Linked DNA regions of Schizosaccharomyces pombe. The gene in region 1 interacts genetically with each later gene. Each region holds a gene or a part of one and is shown in the gene's direction. Other genes may lie near its edges. The genes, in order: pyp1, git3, ryh1 and cdr1.

The links.
Region 2: of pyp1 (region 1) and git3, changing one suppresses a phenotype caused by changing the other (phenotypic suppression), as found in Schizosaccharomyces pombe (one study listed by BioGRID).
Region 3: of pyp1 (region 1) and ryh1, extra expression of one rescues a mutant of the other (dosage rescue), as found in Schizosaccharomyces pombe (one study listed by BioGRID).
Region 4: of pyp1 (region 1) and cdr1, changing one enhances a phenotype caused by changing the other (phenotypic enhancement), as found in Schizosaccharomyces pombe (one study listed by BioGRID).

What each region holds. Positions count from the first base shown.
Region 1 is NC_003424.3:5,159,578-5,163,868, forward strand, and holds pyp1 (protein tyrosine phosphatase Pyp1), read left to right. Parts: upstream 1-1,934; coding exon 1,935-3,587; 3' UTR 3,588-3,783; downstream 3,784-4,291. Other genes in the region: GTPase-activating protein Gyp51, read right to left, coding at 4,164-4,291. UniProt on the Schizosaccharomyces pombe protein: Plays a role in inhibiting the onset of mitosis. Dephosphorylates sty1/spc1 and wis1/spc2/sty2.
Region 2 is NC_003421.2:1,541,784-1,548,097, reverse strand, and holds git3 (G-protein-coupled receptor Git3), read left to right. Parts: upstream 1-2,002; 5' UTR 2,003-3,516; coding exon 3,517-4,917; 3' UTR 4,918-5,765; downstream 5,766-6,314. Other genes in the region: meiotic recombination protein Rec7, read left to right, coding at 1-210; single-stranded DNA-binding protein Ssb2, read left to right, coding at 6,184-6,309. UniProt on the Schizosaccharomyces pombe protein: G protein-coupled receptor (GPCR) that senses glucose and signals via the heterotrimeric G protein alpha subunit gpa2 to activate adenylate cyclase and PKA signaling, and suppress sexual development and gluconeogenesis.
Region 3 is NC_003424.3:1,192,189-1,196,998, reverse strand, and holds ryh1 (Rab family GTPase Ryh1), read left to right. Parts: upstream 1-1,853; 5' UTR 1,854-1,962; coding exon 1,963-2,085; exon of another isoform or gene 2,086-2,128; coding exon 2,129-2,288; intron 2,289-2,365; exon of another isoform or gene 2,366-2,367; coding exon 2,368-2,479; exon of another isoform or gene 2,480-2,591; coding exon 2,592-2,802; 3' UTR 2,803-3,385; coding exon of another isoform or gene 3,386-3,802; 3' UTR 3,803-3,853; coding exon of another isoform or gene 3,854-3,937; 3' UTR 3,938-3,988; coding exon of another isoform or gene 3,989-4,083; 3' UTR 4,084-4,157; coding exon of another isoform or gene 4,158-4,220; 3' UTR 4,221-4,294; downstream 4,295-4,810. Other genes in the region: SPOM_SPAC4C5.03 (multispanning membrane protein, CTNS/PQ domain protein), read right to left, coding at 1-4; pseudouridine-5'-phosphatase Pud1, read right to left, coding at 3,386-3,802, 3,854-3,937, 3,989-4,083, 4,158-4,220, 4,295-4,337, 4,407-4,454. UniProt on the Schizosaccharomyces pombe protein: Has a role in retrograde traffricking of proteins from the endosome to the Golgi. Involved in protein transport to the plasma membrane. Involved in the secretory pathway where it has a role in acid phosphatase secretion.
Region 4 is NC_003424.3:2,678,929-2,684,157, reverse strand, and holds cdr1 (serine/threonine protein kinase (NIM1 family) Cdr1/Nim1), read left to right. Parts: upstream 1-1,750; 5' UTR 1,751-2,611; coding exon 2,612-4,393; 3' UTR 4,394-4,690; downstream 4,691-5,229. Other genes in the region: dut1 (deoxyuridine 5'-triphosphate nucleotidohydrolase), read left to right, coding at 5,109-5,229. UniProt on the Schizosaccharomyces pombe protein: This protein, a dose-dependent mitotic inducer, appears to function as a negative regulator of mitosis inhibitor wee1 by phosphorylating and inactivating it.

The sequences.
Region 1 (4,291 bases):
GGGGGACTATTAAGTGATATCATTGTTTGGTGCTCCAAGATATACCTATTTCTACTTCTTCTTCTCTTTCTACATATCGCTCGCTCGTCCTCTCCCTTCCTCCTCTTAACCCTTTACTTGCTCCCAATCCTTTTTATCTTTTGGGTTTCCTGTTTAAACGTTGGGTAAAGTATAAGATTGGATCTTATTTTCATCGTCGTTTTGTTGGATCGTATGAAAAATTTTACCTTGGTTCGTCGCTCAGTCCTTGCTCTGATCGTTTGGTAAAAATCAAAAATCGTTAGACTTGATTTCGTTGACGTTTAGTGCGTTTAATTCTCTTTCTTAGATTTTTTCCTCCATCCTTCATCTCGTCAACAGTTCTCTCTGTTGTCTCTCCACCGCTATACGTAGCTTTTAAAAGTCGTTTGTTTCATTACCTGCGCCCATCTTTTCTTTTCTAAACTTTAACTCAAAGTGAATAAATAGGAAGAACTAGTCTTTTTTCCTTCCATAAAAGAGCACCAGATATATCGTTGAATCGCCGTGCTTTTTCTATTTGCTTCATTTTTTTATCCCGTACGATGCAAAATAGTTAATTTCTTCAACTTTTCTCAACTTTTGTTTCACCACTTCTTTCTCTCAATTGGGTTAGATTTTTCTCCTTTTACATTTTTTTTATACCTCCCTCTTTTTTTTTCTTGTTTCCTTTTCGTTGATATTTTCATATTTTCGGAATTCTCCTTTTCTAGTTATCCTATTTCTCGTTTCATCATTTTCTTTGTCTTTTCTCAAAAAGGTGTACTCTTGGGTTTCTTTCCACAGTGTAGTATCGCTTTTTTTGAACCTTTGAAGAGCTCATATATTCCTTTCCCTTGAGTTTTTCGGATTAAGTTTTGAATTTTTTTCCCATTTTCTTCATTGCTTTACCGTTTGTTTTCACTTCACTTTGGGGTCTTGGTGGTTACTTGTCTATTGTTTTTTTTGTGGGGTTCTGCATTCTGAATAGTTCTGTTTCTTTTTTTCTGAACTCATCTGTCTAAGTATTCACCATTCATTTGGTTTATTTACAGACGTGTGCTCTGTAATTTTCATCCTTAGTTGACCTTACGTTTTTGCTAGTTTGTTGCATCAACGTGCTTTTGGTTCCCCCCTTTAGCTTTGAATACGCTTCTGACTTTTAAATTGGGTTTTCTGTTTTGTAGGAAAATTATTCCATTGTCATTACATTTCAATTAGCCTCTACCTCTTTTCGTTCCTCGATCTCCTACTTGTATACTTTTCTGCACTTTGACAAACTGCAACTTATAATATTTCTTATACCCTCTATCTTATATTTTTGTTCAGTCTGGTTACTGTTTTCGTGCGTGTGCCCTACCTTTTTGCATTTTCTACTAAATACGAAATAATTTCTTAAATAGTGTTGCTTTTTGCAATCTTGCACTGTGCACTCACAAGCAGTATTTTTATTTTCCTCTTAAAATCGCTTGACCTTTGAAGTGACGATTCATTAATCCGTTAATTTTTAAGGATTCCCCCTTTTTATTCTCATATTTGCATAGTACTGATTCAAACCCATTCTTTGAATTGGATACTCCTCATCCCCTCTAAAACTCTTCCATCTTTATTTTCTGCAGAAAGTTTGAATTGAAAAACTTTTTTCATCTCAGACTTGATTTGAATCTTCTCTTGTTTCCTTCTATATTTTACTAATTTTATTGCCAAATTTTGCGTTAATTCTTTCCTTTTTAGAACCCTGGATTTTCCGTAATTTTGATATTTCCTATCCATTCATTATTTTGCTTTCGGCCTTCAAAACTTGTGCTATCCAATATTTGTATTTTATTTAAGAAGTCTGAATTTTTTTTTACTTTTTTACTTTTTTTTTTAATCATCTCTGCTTCTTTTTTAAGGCCAAATATTCTTAATACAAAACATTCATCTAAAAAACCACGATGAATTTTTCAAACGGTTCAAAATCGTCTACTTTTACAATTGCTCCTTCGGGTTCATGTATTGCTTTACCTCCTCAGCGGGGTGTAGCAACGAGTAAGTATGCTGTTCATGCTTCTTGCCTCCAAGAATATCTCGACAAGGAAGCTTGGAAGGATGACACATTGATCATCGACCTTCGTCCCGTATCCGAGTTTTCCAAATCTAGAATTAAGGGCTCCGTCAATCTTTCTTTACCTGCAACCTTAATTAAGCGTCCTGCCTTTTCGGTCGCGCGTATCATCAGCAATCTTCACGACGTCGACGACAAGAGAGATTTTCAAAACTGGCAAGAGTTTTCATCCATTCTTGTTTGTGTTCCTGCTTGGATTGCTAACTACGTAACGAACGCTGAGGTAATTGGTGAAAAATTTAGAAAAGAATCCTATTCTGGTGACTTCGGTATTTTAGATTTAGACTATTCGAAAGTCTCGGGCAAGTATCCATCTGTGATTGACAACTCTCCTGTAAAAAGTAAATTAGGTGCTTTGCCTAGCGCTCGCCCCAGATTGTCTTACTCTGCTGCTCAAACTGCTCCTATCTCTTTGTCCAGCGAAGGCTCCGATTACTTCTCTCGTCCTCCTCCCACTCCTAATGTTGCCGGTTTGTCTTTAAATAACTTTTTCTGTCCTCTACCTGAGAACAAGGACAACAAATCTTCTCCATTTGGCAGTGCTACAGTCCAGACACCCTGCTTACACAGTGTGCCCGATGCTTTTACCAATCCAGATGTTGCGACCCTCTACCAGAAGTTCTTGCGCCTGCAATCATTGGAGCATCAACGTCTAGTTTCTTGTTCGGATCGTAATTCTCAGTGGAGTACCGTTGATTCATTGAGTAATACATCGTATAAGAAAAACAGATATACCGACATTGTTCCTTACAATTGTACTCGTGTGCATTTGAAAAGAACTAGCCCTTCAGAGCTCGATTATATCAATGCTTCCTTTATCAAAACTGAAACTTCAAATTACATCGCTTGCCAAGGTTCTATTTCTCGTTCTATTAGCGATTTCTGGCACATGGTATGGGACAATGTGGAGAATATAGGCACTATTGTTATGCTTGGTTCATTGTTCGAGGCTGGCCGCGAAATGTGTACTGCATATTGGCCAAGTAATGGTATTGGAGATAAACAAGTGTATGGAGATTACTGTGTCAAACAAATTTCGGAGGAAAATGTCGATAATTCTCGATTCATTTTGCGAAAGTTTGAAATTCAGAATGCCAATTTTCCTTCAGTTAAAAAAGTACATCACTATCAATATCCTAATTGGTCTGATTGTAATTCTCCTGAAAACGTGAAATCTATGGTTGAGTTCTTAAAATATGTGAACAACTCTCACGGATCAGGAAATACTATTGTGCACTGCTCTGCCGGTGTTGGTCGGACAGGAACCTTTATTGTACTAGATACGATCCTACGCTTCCCAGAAAGCAAACTTTCTGGTTTCAATCCTTCTGTCGCCGATTCTTCAGACGTCGTTTTCCAGTTGGTTGATCATATCCGAAAGCAGCGGATGAAGATGGTTCAAACCTTCACACAATTTAAATATGTGTATGACTTGATCGATTCTTTGCAAAAATCTCAAGTTCATTTCCCGGTTTTAACATGAAATTTTTGACTGGATTTTTCTTGGCAATATATATTCGTGTTTTAATCGATTCCTTTATTTCTTGTACTTGTAAAGTGTCTTTTTTTTTACATTTGCATTTGAATTTACTGTCAATGTTTGTGAAATTCAGTTGCTTTAATCACGTTGTCTTTTATTTCAAAAAGTATATTTGAGAACTAGGCTTTTTAATGATATCTTTTTTTCTCTTAAATTTTCTTTTTAGAACTTTGTAAACCTATTTTTTGTACAAGATAAAGTCATCAAACTGATAATAACCTTGTATTATTTTCAGATGCTTTTTAAAATTTATTACTCGATTTCTTTAGGCAGAAATATAGAGTTTAAGCGAAGTGGTCGTGATCAAGAGCAATAGAATTCTTTCTTCACTGATTAAAGGTGAGACGATTCATTAAATATACATTCATTTGAACTATCGTTTGTATGTTTTTAAGTAAGACAAACTTGCAGGAACAAAGATTTTTTATAATACACATTAAACGTAACTCAATATAAATAAATTATTATGGCAATCATTAGGATGCAGATATTCCAATAGTACCTAGAATGCTTTTATATTCACTTTGTCTTTATGCGGTTCATAAGCTGACTCCATTTTTGTAAAGCCATCATATGGTCCTCGTCTAAAACGGCCAAGTTAACTTTAGTTTCAGCAAGCTGCTTTTCTTTTCTAAAGATTTCATCTT
Region 2 (6,314 bases), on another chromosome or scaffold:
AACTCTCAGACACAGGCTTCGTGGGTTGCTCAACCGGAGAACCAAGCATACGCAAATTTGATTCCATCACCCCCAACGACTTCACAAATCCTACCAACAGAACTTACTGAAGAGGAAAAGCAATTACGCTCCAAGGTATTATTCTATCTAAAACAAGACAGCTTCATCCAATTATGTCAAAGTTTGGAACGGGTATGGAACAAGATGTAGGAAGACAGACCAATTCAACTTAATCCCAAATTTAAAAAAGTAGTAAAAATGGAACGAAATCAGGATCGGAATGGTTATTTCGACAAAATTGATGTGTGACCACAATTTGGCAACCAAATGAGAAACTTCATTAAGTTCACATTCTTCGAGTACCGTGATAAAACATTTGTTGCAAATTTTGACATTATTTAACGAAAAGTTGGTCGAGATCTCAACTGCATATGATCGTTGCTGAGGATTAGCAAACAGAAACCGCCAACACAACAATGTTGAAATAAATTTCTCTACTTGTTGCATGACTCTTTTCCCTTAGGCTTGTCCATGCAGAGCATTAAAATCAAATTGAGAAGATCCCGTTCCGATCCTTGGGGTGTAAGCCTCCACCACGACACATAATCGGTATCAAAAGACAACTCTGAAAACTTTTTGATGGGGGAATTGCCGCAAGTACAGCATGAATACTAGTGTTAATAATGGGTCAGGTTACAACGGTTAAAATTGAGTTGGTGGTTGGTTTTGATAATTGACTTAACAATCCACGAGAGGAGTTCATGACATTAAGTACGAAAATGGTCAAATAGTTAGTTTAACTTCAAAAATAGACGAACCAAGTGGAGAAAGTAAATGTTCCGAGCACCAAAAAAAAAACATGATATTTTTTAAAGGGATGAAACAGCTAGAACGTTATGAGTGTAAAAAGGATTTTTTTTTTTTTTTTGGGTACTTCCGAGAGAGACAACAGTCTACAAAGCTTCACAATGATTTCAATGTCCGTGAAGTAAACCTTAAAATGTCGAATCGACTTTGAAGGGTTGCATGCGAATTATCAAATAATGTTTAAAAGTGTTGTCAATGGAAAATGAATCCCGTTTCCCATTTCACTTAATCTAGCTTATCTGCCTAATCGGCACTTAAGGTAGATGGAAACCAGAGAATATTCTTTTTTCCTCAAAACAAAAACGCCCCCGCTAGTAAACCTAAAGACAATACCGACTAACGATATTGTGATTTTCACTTGGTGGAATTGGCGGAAATGTTTTCAAAGATATGAAGGCATAACCGGATCAAACGGTTTCGACAATGCTAATAGAATTCTCTTCACGTGGACGAACCGGTTTCCAAGGAGAATAAAGACATAATAATAAAATTTAACACTCCTTGTTTTATTTCGACAATATTTATTGGTCTGGTCCGAATTGTTCATTTTGGTAACTACAACATTACTCCCTATTTTTAAGCACGTTTTCATTACCCCTAATTGAAACTTGATTCTATCAACTTTCAATTTACCGGGGCTCGTTTTATTATTCTATTCTCACCATCATTCGATTTTCGCTTCATTTCTGTTGAGGGACTGCTTCCTAGATTGGTGTTTAACGCTTATCGCAACGCATGGAGTTGCATTTCATCCATTTTCTTTTGAAAATAAAGTGTGACCTCTTCTTGTGCCTAATATTGACTTGACTTTAAACACTGTAAAAATAAACGCTGTTTTTTAAAACCATCAATAACTTTAAATCATCGGTTCCTTTTTTTCTTTTATAACGAGGACTTTCTCATTAACGCACTCTGAAATGATTCTTTTCACCCTGATTTTTTTTATGCGATTGTATTTGCTCCTCACGATATACTATACTAATCACTATCGTACTTAAAAAATAGGCCGATCGTCCGAACCTCGTTTGTCTGTGCAAAAACAACTCTCGTCATTCTTACACAAAAATTTCGTTTACAGCGATACTACAAATTTTTTTCATAAGTTATAATGGTTGGTGGTAGCACATCTAGGAGTGTGAAAGCATCGCCGATATTGTGTTAGTGCGACAAGGCTCATCAAGGGATTAGGGAAATTTTTTCTTCAATAGTCTTGCTAGAAAATTACTCGGAATTTGAATCGTTGTCGATATTTTTTTTTCTGAAATTACAATTGTTCATTGTCTCTGCGTAGGTGCAAATTTCTGATTTGCTCTACAGCTTGTGATCTTAAATCTACTTAGTCAATCGACTCTGTACTATTGACGCCTGGGCCCCCTCACATAATTCAATTGCGATCTTTTTTTTTATTCTTCTTCTGTGGACTTAAGGTGCGGAGACTTTGGTTTATTTGTCTCCTCTTGTGTTTCTGTCAAGCCCGTGTGCTTGCATATTTTTTCAGAAAAATCCCGCATTGGTACTTAACTACTGTACTTGCTATAACACCTTATCCATTAGTCGTTGAGGTATATTTGTGCATATTCACTACACACTCATACACAACAGCAAAGGCGGCAACTCTCCGCCATCATTACTTATAATCAAGCCAACTCCATCAGCCAACCCAAACCACGGCGCCTTCAATTGATTTGTCTTTTCCTTAATTATCGGTAAATTTCACCGATTTGATTTAGTACCGCTTTATTCACTGTACGGCGTTAATTGCAAGCCATACCGCCTCCGATTTCCCTATTCTTCAATATCCTTAAGAAGGTTCGCCACGCTATTAAGAGCCTTGCAAAACGTGCATAAGTGGCTTTGAGCTCTAAGTGACTTCACTAGTGCTTTCTTTATAAGCACAATACATCGTTGGTTGTTCACGTCAATTGCGCTTTTCTTCTTGCCAAGAGTGTCGAGACGGGACTGCGCTTTATTAATAATCGTCGGCACCGTTTTGCGTCCGGCTTTCCTGGTTGCATTCGTTTATCACTTTTGAGCTGCTTCGTCGGCCACGATTAAAGGAAAAAGCAGTAGATTTACTATTTCAACTTTTACCTTTAACAGTTTAATCGTGTGTCTACAACTTTCGAAAGAATAGTTGAGTTAATTGAAAAGTAAAGACGAGAAGCTTGTTTTTGGAAAAAAGAAAACAGAAACAAAAATAAAAGTACGGGAATTCAAATTCATATTCGAAACAAACTCGTTTAGTTTAGAGAGCTCCTTCTATATTGCCAGTTTGCTAAGTTTTTTACATCAACTTGAAGAGACTGTTTATATTCGCGAACGAAGCAATTTATAGAAAATCGAGGGTCAGATATGCAATCTTGGGTAATTGGATATACGAGATATACTATTTTTTGCACTTCTTAAGGGTAATAGGACTGATTACCCAAGTGGCTGAAAATTCTGTTTTGCTTTCTTGTTTGTCTATTTGAACATTTCTGAAGTCATAGATTTGTCTTTGGAGTATTCCTTTTTTTTTTGTCTTTTTTTTTGTTTTTCGTTCTGATATTGCTTTTCTTGTTTTTTACTTTCTCACCTCCTCTCCTCTCTTTTTTTTTCCTGTCTTCTTGAAGAGAAGTTTAAACTTTGTAATAAGGAACAAGGTTGCTCATGCTTCATTTAGATTATACGTTTAATGTTTCCGATGCCACGAGTACGAGTTCCATCATCATTGTCTCTCGCAGAGAGTTAGCTAACCTGAGAATCATGGTCATTATAGCTTCAGCCATATCTATCGTTTTCAGCTTAATTGCTATCTTCTGGCGATGGTCTCGTCGGCGAACAATACGTGAACAATTTCATATCGCTCTTTTTTCTGTATTGTTTATTCGTTCCATTGTGCAAATGATTCATCCATGTCTAGCATTAAGCGATCCTTTTTTTTGGGCTCCAAAACATCGATGCTTTACAATTGGATTTTTTCTTTTGGTACTTGTTCGGATGACTGATTATTGGATTTTTATCAACATATTGCATAATGCTCTTTTGGTGCTTTTCCCCCATGTTGATACTGAACGAAGGGGTCTATATCGTTTTCGGCATACTGTGTTTACACTGTCATTTGTAATTCCTTTAACTATTGGCGGACTTGCTTTTACCAATAAAAGAAATACATTTGTCAATTTACAAACCCGATGCTACCTTCCCTATACCCCTGTACGATTCATGTTTGGTTTGAATTGGTCATTTGATTATGCGCTAAGTATTGCAATTATTGCTTTACAAACTTGCATGTTCATCTCGATCAGAAGGAAAATCAAACGTTTCAAGAAATACTCACATCAACAAACAAATGTGTTTGATACTTTAAATGTCATTGATTCGTATCCTACCGCTCCGGATCAAGTAGCTCTTCCACCATTTCCCGACACCAACAGTACTTTAACATATACTCCATCTAATTCTCAATCCATTTACTCCTCGCAGTCTCAACCTTCTCCCTATTCGAGACCGTTACTATCCTCTGTGCATCCTAATTTGCCTCCTGGTTCGCAGTCTACTCCTGCTAATCTAAATCAATCAGGAATACATTTCGAACAGGATTTTAGGGATAGTCCAAATCGCACAAATGGCCTTGAAGATCACACGAGTTTTAAACTCAGTAGTCCATTGACTAGTGACGAAGATGGTGCTTCTAGTGTTTTGGCTGCATATGGAAATGATATGCAAGATGATCCCCTCCTTAAACAACGGAAACGCATTTTAAGTCAGTCTAAGTTTTTGTTTGCTTATCCTGCAATTTTTATCTTTATGTGGATTCTCCCTCAAATACAGATTATCGTTATACTTGCCCAACCGTTGCACTGCTCTGGTTCATGCAAACGATTCGCATTTGTTGCAGTCTTTGCAGACAACTTCGTTGCCATCTTTATTGCCTTGTCAGATTTTATTTGGATTTGTTATCGTGGCTACACGTATTTGAAGGAAAGAGATTCGAGTAAAAGTTATTGGGATCAAATAAAGGAGTTGACTTTAAAATGGTGGCGGGGTAAATTTGGTGAGGAAAAATAGAAGGATTTGTTCTTTTTATTTTTGTTTATGGTGAAGTCTCACAAGCTCCTCTTCTTGTATTATAATTTCTTTTTATGACGATTTTATTATCACTTTACTTCTTAAAATTTTCTCATAGCCTTTGCATTCATATGTCTTCCTTTTTTGTTAAAGCCATCCAGTGAATGACAATGGAATGTGAATGGAAACAACTGTGGTAAACCAACTAATATTTTAATATCTCCCATTTTTGCATCACCTCTAATATATGTCATACTTTAATTTTCGCTTCCCAGAATTTATTTCGAAGTATTAAATTTTGGCACTACTTAACTTGGCAAAAGGCTCGGATTGGAAGATGGTTTAAAGCTTGGCTGCTTCAAATTGATAAGGCCGCTCACAATTATCGATGTATATATATGTACTGTGTCTATGACAGTTTTCTATTCATCTCGGGGAATTCATTTTTGGAACGCTTAGTCGCCTAAACAATTCTTCCTTATATAGAATGTTTATGTTCAGCTTTACCAACTATCATTCACTCGTTTTCATTTTTCAGATGCTCTTACATTTTACTGCTTGCATTAAGCATCTGTCTTCAAAACTATATTCAAAATTTATGTCCCCAATACTATATTTCCTCAATACATAAAATGGATGGATTGTGCATAGCAATACGTTTATGTTCTTATTTTGTATATGTCGATGTGCGAATAGTCATTCACCATTAGCTATTCTTTTGTTGTGGATAAATCGCTTTTCTTCCTATACGATTTGTAAAATTGCGTCGGACATTTGTTCCATGCCTTCTTGTTACATATGAATGTGTTAATGTTTACAAATTTAATAATGTATTTTTTAGTTTTTCTTTACATTTGGTAAAGCAGAATGGTAGCACAGTATCTGATTGCTTTAAGCGTTTTAAGTCAATTGAGCATCCCGTGATTAGTAGGTTTTTGTATTGAAAACTATACGGTTATAGAGAAAAAAAGTAGATGTAAGATGGTTTTCTAAATAAAACAGTTAATTTTATTACATTGTAGTATATAAGCACGCTTGCTTGATTTTATTCTTTTCGGTACACCACCGCGAAACGCGACTCGTAACTTGTACTAAACACACCACTGAAAAGTAGACTACTCGTGGAATCAGCTGTAACTTTATATTCAATTATTTAAAAATCACTCTCTAAAAGATCGCAGATATATTTTTAAGTGGTTGATTTGCTTTTTCATCGCTCTTTAATTCACCCTAACAAACTTTCATAATTTGAGATAATACGTGCTCATGGCTTATGATGCTTTTGGCAAGCCGGGCTATGGTCCCGACTTCAATAGCGCTTTTTCTCCAGGAATGGGAGGAGGCGCTGGATTTAATGAATATGATCAATCGAGCCAGCCCAGCGTCGATAGAGTAAG
Region 3 (4,810 bases), 4.0 Mb from region 1:
CCATCGTTCATACGTACTTCGTCTCCTATAATAAAATCGTAATAAAGAAATGCAATACGAAGTTAATTTCTAATGCTTTGTATAAAAATATATAAATAAACGATGCCTGGGCTGCCAATAATGGTACGATGAAGTAAAGGTTGCTAACTTTGGGGCTTATTGAACAAGCGTCACTAAGGAAAGACAATTTAAAATTTCCTTTTGAAATAATTGGTGTTTAATAAATAAGTAAAAGGAAGAATCGCCAAAAAATTGGATTTTTCATTTAATTTTGTCGAAAATGGGGAAAGGAGAGGCAGTGTAAGCTACATTAGTCGGAGGGCTTAGACACAAAGTTGTGAGCTGTAACGTATAATATTGAAATTTTGCGATATTTAAAGTGCTATAAATTTGACATTGGAGAAAATAAATAAGTAAATAAACAATGAATTATAGAAGAAGATAAAAGGAACTGAATGAATTGTATATCTTAATAAACTAGGTAAATTTTTTTCTCTTTTAAAAACATGAGTGAAATGAAATGGCGCTACACATCTAAAAATTGAAATACATCAAGACACTTTACAAAAAAATTTCTAAATTGAATCTAAAATCAAGTTCTTTTGTTTTTAACCCCATTATCTTTTTAAAGATTCTAAATAATCTAAATTAATCGTTTGAACCAAATTTTTTATAGGATATATAACTACATATTTACTTTTTAAATTCTTTTTCATCTTATCATTAAATTCCGAGATTTTTTATTCCAAACAGCAGCTAATAATTATGAAATAACTTAGTTTTTAATTCTCTTATCTTTCTTGAACTTTTCGTCATATTGCAATAAGGATACAAATAAAAAAAAAATTTATTTTTAAAAGAATCTAAGCTTGAAAAGCCATACTATTTACTCTTTTATTGATTTCGAAAATTATTAAATTAAAACCCACTAACTAACCTGTTATTGTTGACATTAAGTATAAAATTTGACTTGGCTGTTCCGTAGCTAATTGTATCATTAATGAAATGACCGAGTTTGCTAAATTAACTCGAGTATATTTTCCTGTAAAGCTTATATTTTGCTTAAATCTGACTCGTTTAACAGCTAGTTTTATTCAAGTTAACAAACATACATTTTTCGAACAGTTTGGTGCAGTCTGCCAATCTTGAACTTGGTAGCAGACAGGATGCGTAGATTATGAAACATTCTAATAAAATTTCAAATGGAATAAAGCCATTATGTTGAATTTCAAGCTTGTTCTATGGTTTAACTACTTTCCATTTTCCTTCTTTCATCAGCTACTAAACAAAAAAATTACCTTATACTTTACTAATATGCTGAAGCCTTCAATGTTTGGGCATGTGATGCAGTGGTAGCATGCTCGCTTTGCATGCGAGTCGTCCTGGGTTCAATCCCCAGCGTGTCCAATATTTTTTTGTAAACTTAGCTACTCTCAGCAAAAATTAGGCCATTCCAATCGAGAGATTTCTTGTATTATATAGTTTAATGATAATCAAATCTCGATGACTCCTCCTTCCCATGCGATGTGGCGCGTTTTTATCCCAGTTGTCATTCCTTGAAATGTTGTGTATAAAACTATGAGTAGTAAACAAACTGTTGTTACAGCTGTATGTTTTTTAACACCCAAAAACCTATCACTATCAACAACTCAAAGAAAAAGAACCCATCTTTAGGAATGCTTAGTAATTTAAGAACGGTGAGAGTTCATGATTTCTTTTTCAGCGAAAAAGTTGTTTGTTATAGAATTACTTTACCGAGATTAAACTTCGTAAAAGCGAATGAAAAGTAAAACAAGCGAAAGTATATTAAGGATATGCGGCGGGATCTCACTGTAGCACGATAGTCTTTACTCACTACTACCACTATTAAGTACGGTGCTTTTTGATCATCAATAAGCAATTCCGTCTGTATCTAAATTACTTTTGTCTGTGTATATTTAGAAGTCAAAACTTTTTGTCATAATGTCAGAAAATTACTCGTTTTCTTTGCGTAAATTTAAGTTGGTTTTTCTCGGTGAGCAGTCAGTTGGCAAAACATCGTTAATTACACGATTTATGTACGATCAGTTTGATAATACTTATCAAGTAAGTAACTATAATTAAAACTTCTTTACTAACAGGGTCCAAGGCTACTATTGGTATAGACTTTCTAAGCAAGACTATGTATTTGGAAGATCGAACGGTTCGTCTTCAACTATGGGATACTGCTGGTCAAGAACGTTTCCGTTCTTTAATTCCTTCGTATATTAGGGATTCTTCTGTTGCTATTATTGTTTACGATATCACTAGTAAGTAATAGTGGCACAGTAATTTTGCCATATATTTTTACTCAGACTTTATTTTCGAATATCTGCTAACTACTTATAGACCATAACTCTTTTGTAAATACTGAGAAATGGATTGAAGATGTTCGTGCTGAGCGGGGAGACGACGTTATAATTGTTCTCGTTGGTAATAAAACGGACTTGGCTGATAAAAGGTATGACACTCCAGCTAACAGAGATTCAGCATTTACAATGCGACATCTCTTCATTCATAATTCCAAAGCTATATTTTGGTTTTTGATGGTTCTTATGCTAACGGTGGTTTAGGCAAGTGACTCAAGAAGAAGGAGAAAAAAAGGCAAAAGAATTAAAAATAATGCACATGGAAACTAGTGCTAAAGCGGGTCACAATGTAAAACTGTTGTTTAGGAAAATTGCACAAATGTTACCAGGCATGGAGAATGTGGAAACACAAAGCACTCAAATGATTGACGTTAGCATTCAGCCTAACGAGAATGAAAGCAGCTGCAATTGCTAGTGTATCTCATTGAACATGTCAGTGTACTCTAACTGTTTCGTGAATTATTTTTTTTCGCTTCAGGCCGCAATCAGCGGTTTTTAATGTCATTTGACCCTCAAAAAGTATACTGTGAGTATATATATATCTTCTTATAGCCCCTAAATCTTTTGCACCTTTAAAGAATCGCGATTCCTTTTATACCTGTTTCCTTTTCCTTCTTTTTTTACTTGTTTTAGTCCTTTTTTATTTTAATCCTGTCTCTATGATATATGCTTTACAAAAGTGAGAAGTTGAATTTCTGAATAAGTCTCTTTCGTTTAATCCCTGCGGTGCTTCTTGACTTTTCAAGGGCATTTGCAAAGAAGGAAAAAAATTACAATGTATGATTTTGGAATTCAGAGAAATGTTATTATTTTTTTTTTTTTAGATTTCGCTTTTTCCCTTTACTCATAAGTTATTTATGCTATGTGAGTCAGTTCAAGGTTTTCATTGAAACAGTAGAACTTTATTTATACTTCAATTTTTTAATTTTATTAAAAGATATGAGGTTTTTTGCCAAAAAAAATTGAATGAACCAAAAAAAAGTTAGCGGATATAACCTCTAGGCCTGCTTTGAATTTATGTTAAGATATTTGTTTATATCAAACTCTGAAAGACTCGGTAACGTCTCACATTGAGAATCAACAATCTCATTCAGCTGATCCCCTACCAAGTTTTTGATGGCAGCATCTGGAACCCAAATGACATGCATTCCTGCAGCCTTTGCACTTTTGACACCGGGAATACTGTCTTCAAAGGCAATGCATTGGCTTGGTGTAAGTGCCTTCAAACCTCGCTGCTTCCTACTTTCATTTATTAAATTCAACACCTTCAGCCAAATGTCTGGAAAAGGTTTGCCACGACCAGGTGCAATACTAGGATTATCACCTGTAATAACATTTTTACCAAATTTCTCAAAAATATGTTTAAGATGGGCTGTCTTCATATTATAATTTGCGGTATTAGAGGAAGTAGCAAGCTGGTGATGCTGTTAGCACACTTTTATTATAGCGTAGGGATGAGTACATACCCCGATATCAATTCCATGATTGGAGAGGTTATTAATCAAAGATTCAGCCCCAGGCATAGGCTTCAAAGACGACCAAAACTTTGCCTTTCAGAAAGTTAGTTGAAATGGAAATAAATGTAGCGTATAAGTACGTACCCGAATAACCTGTTGTTCATCAACGAATTGTTGAGGAGTCATAGGAATGTTGGACCAATCTATAACAACCTTGGCAGCTGCGGAACCCGGTCTCCCTACGTATCGCAAGTTAGACCTGCAATTTTGAAAGCATTTTAAAATATCTCTTCGCTAGCTTTATATAACATACCCATCATTTGAGCCTTAACAGAAATAGGAAGAGGATCCTTGCCATACCTGTCCAATATAAGATCTATAAAAAAAATAAAGATTAGAAAACATTGTAGTTTTGTGCTAAATATAAGCACAGATATATTATTTACATACTGGTCGTCTTTGTATAAATAGTTTCACTGTCGACAAGTAGACCCTGTAAAAAGAGTGATTGTTAATGCAAAAGCTTTCATAAGAGGTAATGTGGTGTGAAAAATAAACATACATCCATATCGAATAGACAAGCCATGTATTTTACGTGTTTAGCAGCCATTTCTAGGTAAAAAGATAGTGAAGCTTCTACGACCTAACAAAACCAAAGAAAAAAAAAAGCAGAAAAAAAACTTCCGGGATATCCAAAAAATCAAGTTTCAAAAAAGTATATTGCTGTATAACCAATAAAAAAGTATAAAATCTTCCAAAACAAGAATTAACAATTAAATATACAAATACAATTAAAGAAAACAAAGACACCGACAAATGAAGTGTTAACTGTATATCTAATTAAAAAAATCCGCGAAAAACCAAAAAATAAGGACAGTTGTTAAAGATCAACAAAGAAACGTCGATACAGTAAGGCGTGATAATTAGGCAGAATGAAAAATAGCTAAATCCCAAAACTGTGCAAAC
Region 4 (5,229 bases), 2.5 Mb from region 1:
ATAATCTTACACTGCAATAAGGCCATATACCCGTAGTTGTTGGTACGACCACTCACATTCCAAAGTCCAACTCAATAGTGAAGAAATTCATCATTGGCAACAAGTCATCAACACTTCGTTGCTGTTGGACACTTCTACCAAACGTTCTTTATTGACAACTTTGAACGGCTTCGGCTGCATTCCCGAGCCCTGTAACGCCTATCTTTCATGTGGCTCGGAATGTAAACCAGAAACTCAGACAAATACCGCTGTTGGATCGCACTGATGATATTTGTTTATCGAGGCTGTGTTCATTTTTCTTAGTCATTTTAGCGTAACGAACTGACACCGAAAAATATCAAGCAATCAAGTAGATCCATCTGTCCAAGCACCAACCACATCTTTGCTCGATAATCAAACTTGGATTACCGATAGTTAAAGGTGAAGGATCGGTTTTGCTGGTTTCATTCGATTTTCCAAACATCGTCGATTCAGTAGACTGGGGTTGAGTCAGTATCCAAGCCATTCTTGCGCTCAATTGATAATTATGGTAGGTTACCCAAATGTTGTATGCCAACTGTATTACTTACCCGTGGTTATATTTTGAAAACAGCGAAACTGTGTAAACAATTTCTGTTTGTTTCTCAATTGTTTGTGGCGTACACGTATTGCAGCTCTCAAGTTGCTATAGTATATTTTTATTGTCTAATAAAAATTTAATGAATTTATTTAGTTGAAATATTTGCAGTAAGAATGTTCATGTTGATATACCATGTAAAAAAGTCACATAAAGTTGAGCAAGCTGAAAAAGAATAAGTTTTCGCCTCCAAATATAAAAATTTCAATTAAATTGTAGAAAATTATAGATTCTTTATAATATCGTAATTTCTTAAGCGGGGCCTATAGTCTTTCATCAACTTTTCACGACAGTCGTTGTTATTCATACCATAGGATGAAGACGATTTCAAACATCCAATATTCGCTTATAATGATGAAATGAACTTCAGTAACCCGTTCAATACATTCATTATATACTGAGATTTCATCTATTATTGAAGCAAGTTTCAATGTTTGGCATGAAGCCGGCTCTAACACTTGTCAGATTTCAAGTACCTGTTTTCATTATTTTTTTTGCTCAAATTTTCAAAAAAAGTGTAATGGCATGTGTTATCAGATATGGTATGCATCATGTCCCTGGTTATCCCCGAAGTAGAACGGGTTCTTGACCGTGCTACCAAGTCGTGTTACTTTTCGATGAAAAACTGGAATTCCCTGCTAAAACTACACGAGTAAAACAAGAAAAAATATTCATCTATTGCAATAACTTGCTCCTAGATTGCCAAAACGAGTACTACGTAAACAAATGTGAAAGAAGCAGAAAAGACTGCTAAAGTTGCTTTTAACGAAAATGTAAATAAGAGAAGAAAAGACAACTTTAACGGTTCGATTTTACTACAATATGAATATTAATTAAACTTCATAAAGCGAAACTGAAAAACTAAATAAAATTTGCTCTACAGCTATAAATCAGCTGTTAATATTCAAGTTTTTATCAAGACAGCACTATGAGCCTGAGATTACCACCCTCAAGGACTAGAAACCAAGTAGTGGATTGCTTCCGTTCCTTAAGTCATCCTATCGTGATCCGCCGAAATAATCGTAAGCCTTCAATACACTCTTCATATGTTCCCTGATCAAGTCCAAGTAGTGCCCCACCCTTCCCTACTCTTGAACACTTATATCCGCTCCTCCAGCATTCATGTTGTCCTCTGCCAAACTTATCTTGGCCAATTCCGTCTTTTGGACTACTCTGCATAAGAACTCAGCATTGTTTTCGATTTTAGGAATTGCTGGGATCCTGTTTGTATTAATATTGTAGATCGATATTTTGAAACATCTGTAGGCCTTCTATATAGTGGGTTGTTCTACATATTATTTATTTATTCATTCATCTTTCTTTGTTTTACTTACTGTTCTCCATATTTTTATCTGATTATACAGGGTTTGAATTAAAATCCGTTAGTTTATTTTATTCTACCTTTTTCAACTATTTGACCGCCCCAATATTTCCATTTTTACTTTCTCCTTTCTTGTTTCTTCTCTCTTTTAATTTATGAAAGTTCAATCCTTATTCGAATATCATTAACTTAACCTTTATTGGATTTATACATCACGAATCTTATACACTTTACATACTTTCTTTATTTTACGCTCCCCTTCGTTTCTTTTTCTTTGTCTTTACCTTTTTTTATTGCTGTTACTCAAAACGTCTTGTAACTTACATTTGTTATTTGTGTTCTTGTGCTACTTCCCATTTTTTTTTCAAGGTCCGTCTATTTCCGTTCCACGTTTCACTTTTCTGTTCTACAATACACTCAGAAAAGTGCTTTAGGTTATTTATGAGGCACTCTTATTTTATTAATTCGTTTCCAGTATCTATTTTGTGATCACACCCTATTTTGTATCGTGGTGTCATTCACTTTTTCCTTTACTTATTCCAAATTTCATGCTACTTTTTCGACATTTATTCTACTTTTCATCATAAGTATTTCAGATTTTCTGAAGTTGCTATTATTCAGTCTGCAATTTTACTTTTGGAAAGCCTTTTCCCTTAATAAAAGGTTAGATTTGAATGGTGAAGCGACACAAAAATACTATTGGCGTATGGCGTCTTGGGAAGACTTTAGGGACTGGTTCCACTAGCTGTGTGCGTCTTGCCAAGCATGCTAAAACTGGTGATTTGGCTGCCATCAAAATTATCCCTATTCGATATGCCTCCATAGGAATGGAAATCTTAATGATGCGTTTGTTGCGCCATCCTAATATTCTTCGACTATACGATGTTTGGACCGATCATCAGCATATGTACTTAGCACTCGAGTACGTCCCTGATGGTGAGCTTTTTCACTATATACGCAAACATGGACCTTTGAGCGAAAGAGAGGCTGCGCATTATCTTTCCCAAATTCTTGATGCTGTAGCGCATTGTCATCGCTTTCGCTTTCGCCATCGGGATTTAAAACTTGAGAATATTCTCATCAAGGTAAATGAGCAACAAATTAAAATAGCTGATTTTGGCATGGCCACTGTTGAACCAAATGACTCTTGTCTTGAGAATTATTGCGGCTCTTTACATTATTTGGCTCCCGAAATTGTATCTCACAAACCATATCGTGGAGCTCCTGCTGATGTTTGGTCTTGTGGTGTCATCTTGTATTCATTGTTGTCGAATAAGCTCCCCTTTGGTGGTCAAAACACAGATGTTATTTATAATAAGATTCGCCATGGCGCATATGATCTTCCTTCTTCAATTTCTTCGGCTGCGCAAGATTTGTTACACAGAATGCTAGATGTAAATCCAAGCACGCGTATAACAATTCCGGAAGTTTTTTCTCATCCATTTCTAATGGGCTGTACATCATTGAGCTCTATGGATAGCACTACCCCTCCTACCCCTTCACTGTCAATTGACGAAATTGATCCATTAGTAGTTGATTGCATGTGTGTGCTTTGGAAAAAATCATCCTCTAAAAAAGTCGTTCGTCGTCTTCAACAGCGAGATGATAACGACGAAAAATATGTGTATAAAGTTTTATCCGAGATTTTGCGCGATGATATGTTGAAAAAACAACGTTTTGATGAAAATAAATATCTCAGTCTTTACGATTTAATTCACGACAATAATCTTTTCACCAAAGCTTCTATTTCAACAACATCGTTAGTAAAATCCAATGTTTCGACAAACTCTCGCAAAAGTAGTAATTTTGAAGATGAACTTGCTAGAAGAGTTTCTAGTCCGCTTTCAGCCTTAAATCAAATGTCTCAATCTCCAATACCGATCAGGGTGTCTTCTGACAAGGATTATGACAGCTATGCCTGTCATGAAGTAGTTTCAAACCCATCGACTTTGGATGATGACTATAATTATATGTTTGTTTGTCCACCAGAAGAGTATACTTATTCAACTGATAATGTTAGAACTGATTCTCTGGACTTACAATCTCTCCCCACTCCTACCCTTGAGCAATTAGAATCCGTACCATTCAATCGGTATGGCTATGTCCGCATCTTTCCTAGCACCACTCTGTCTAGCACAGCCAGTGGCTACTACACTCCTGATTCACTTTCAACTCCTGAACCATCAATAGATGGGCTAACCAATTTGGACGATGTCCAGGTTGGAGGCTTTGTTCAAGGATCAGGCAATCAAAATAGACGTCCCATATCTTTTCCTGTAATCAGTAATATGCAGCCGAACATAACTAATGTGAGATCTGCTTCTGCTCCTTTATGTTCATCTCCAGTTCCAAGTCGGAGATATTCTCAATATGCTACTAATGCAAGATATACTCCCAGAAAAGTTTCTTCCGGTTCTGTATTACGAAAGATTTCTTCATTCTTTCGGAAGGATTAAATAGGAATTTTTTCAAAAACACAGTCTTCTTCCTCAAAATCAACCATTAATGTCTATACTGTGGGCGGCTATTCAAATGTTAAGATCTGTTTATAATTTAATGAGGATGATAATTATTTTTTTTGGATCTCCCGTCGTGTGTACCTGTACCTTTCTACGAATTTAATGATCTTTTTTGGCAATTGGACCTTTGAGTCTATTAGCAATTTAATGGTTTTAGGGTTTTACGTTATATATCTGTTAATGATTTGGGCACACTAGTTTATATATGTAACTAATGAATATCTTCTATTACAATCGCTTTCCAGAAATCAGTAGTCTGTATAAAGTAAAATTTTGTTGTGAACATTAGTTTTATATGAAATTTGGGTGTTTTTATGTAATAACGTCTGTTGGTTTTTGAAAATTGTCGAATATTCCGGAGTGTTTAGTAATAAAATTGAGGTTTAAGAGTTATCGCAATAAATAAAATATGAAGAAATAATTCCTATAAACGTTTACCTCTTTAGAAAGTTTTTATACACTGTCTACGTTTATATATTAGGTATGTTGTACGGTGTATATCTTGACTAAATGTAAACAAACGCGACGCGCCGTCAACCGCAACGTGTCGCGTAACTTCAAATTTATATGCAACGCCAGTATCTATTGCAAACACTCATTCCCAATCAAGAATTCTATTGTCTGTGAAATTACACAGTTTTATAGTTTAAACATGAGTTTTTTCGTTCAAAAACTTTCTGAAAAAGCAACCATTCCTACTAAAGGCTCTGCAAATTCTGCTGGATATGATTTGTACGCGGCTGCTGAATGTATAGTTCCAAGAAGAGGAAAAG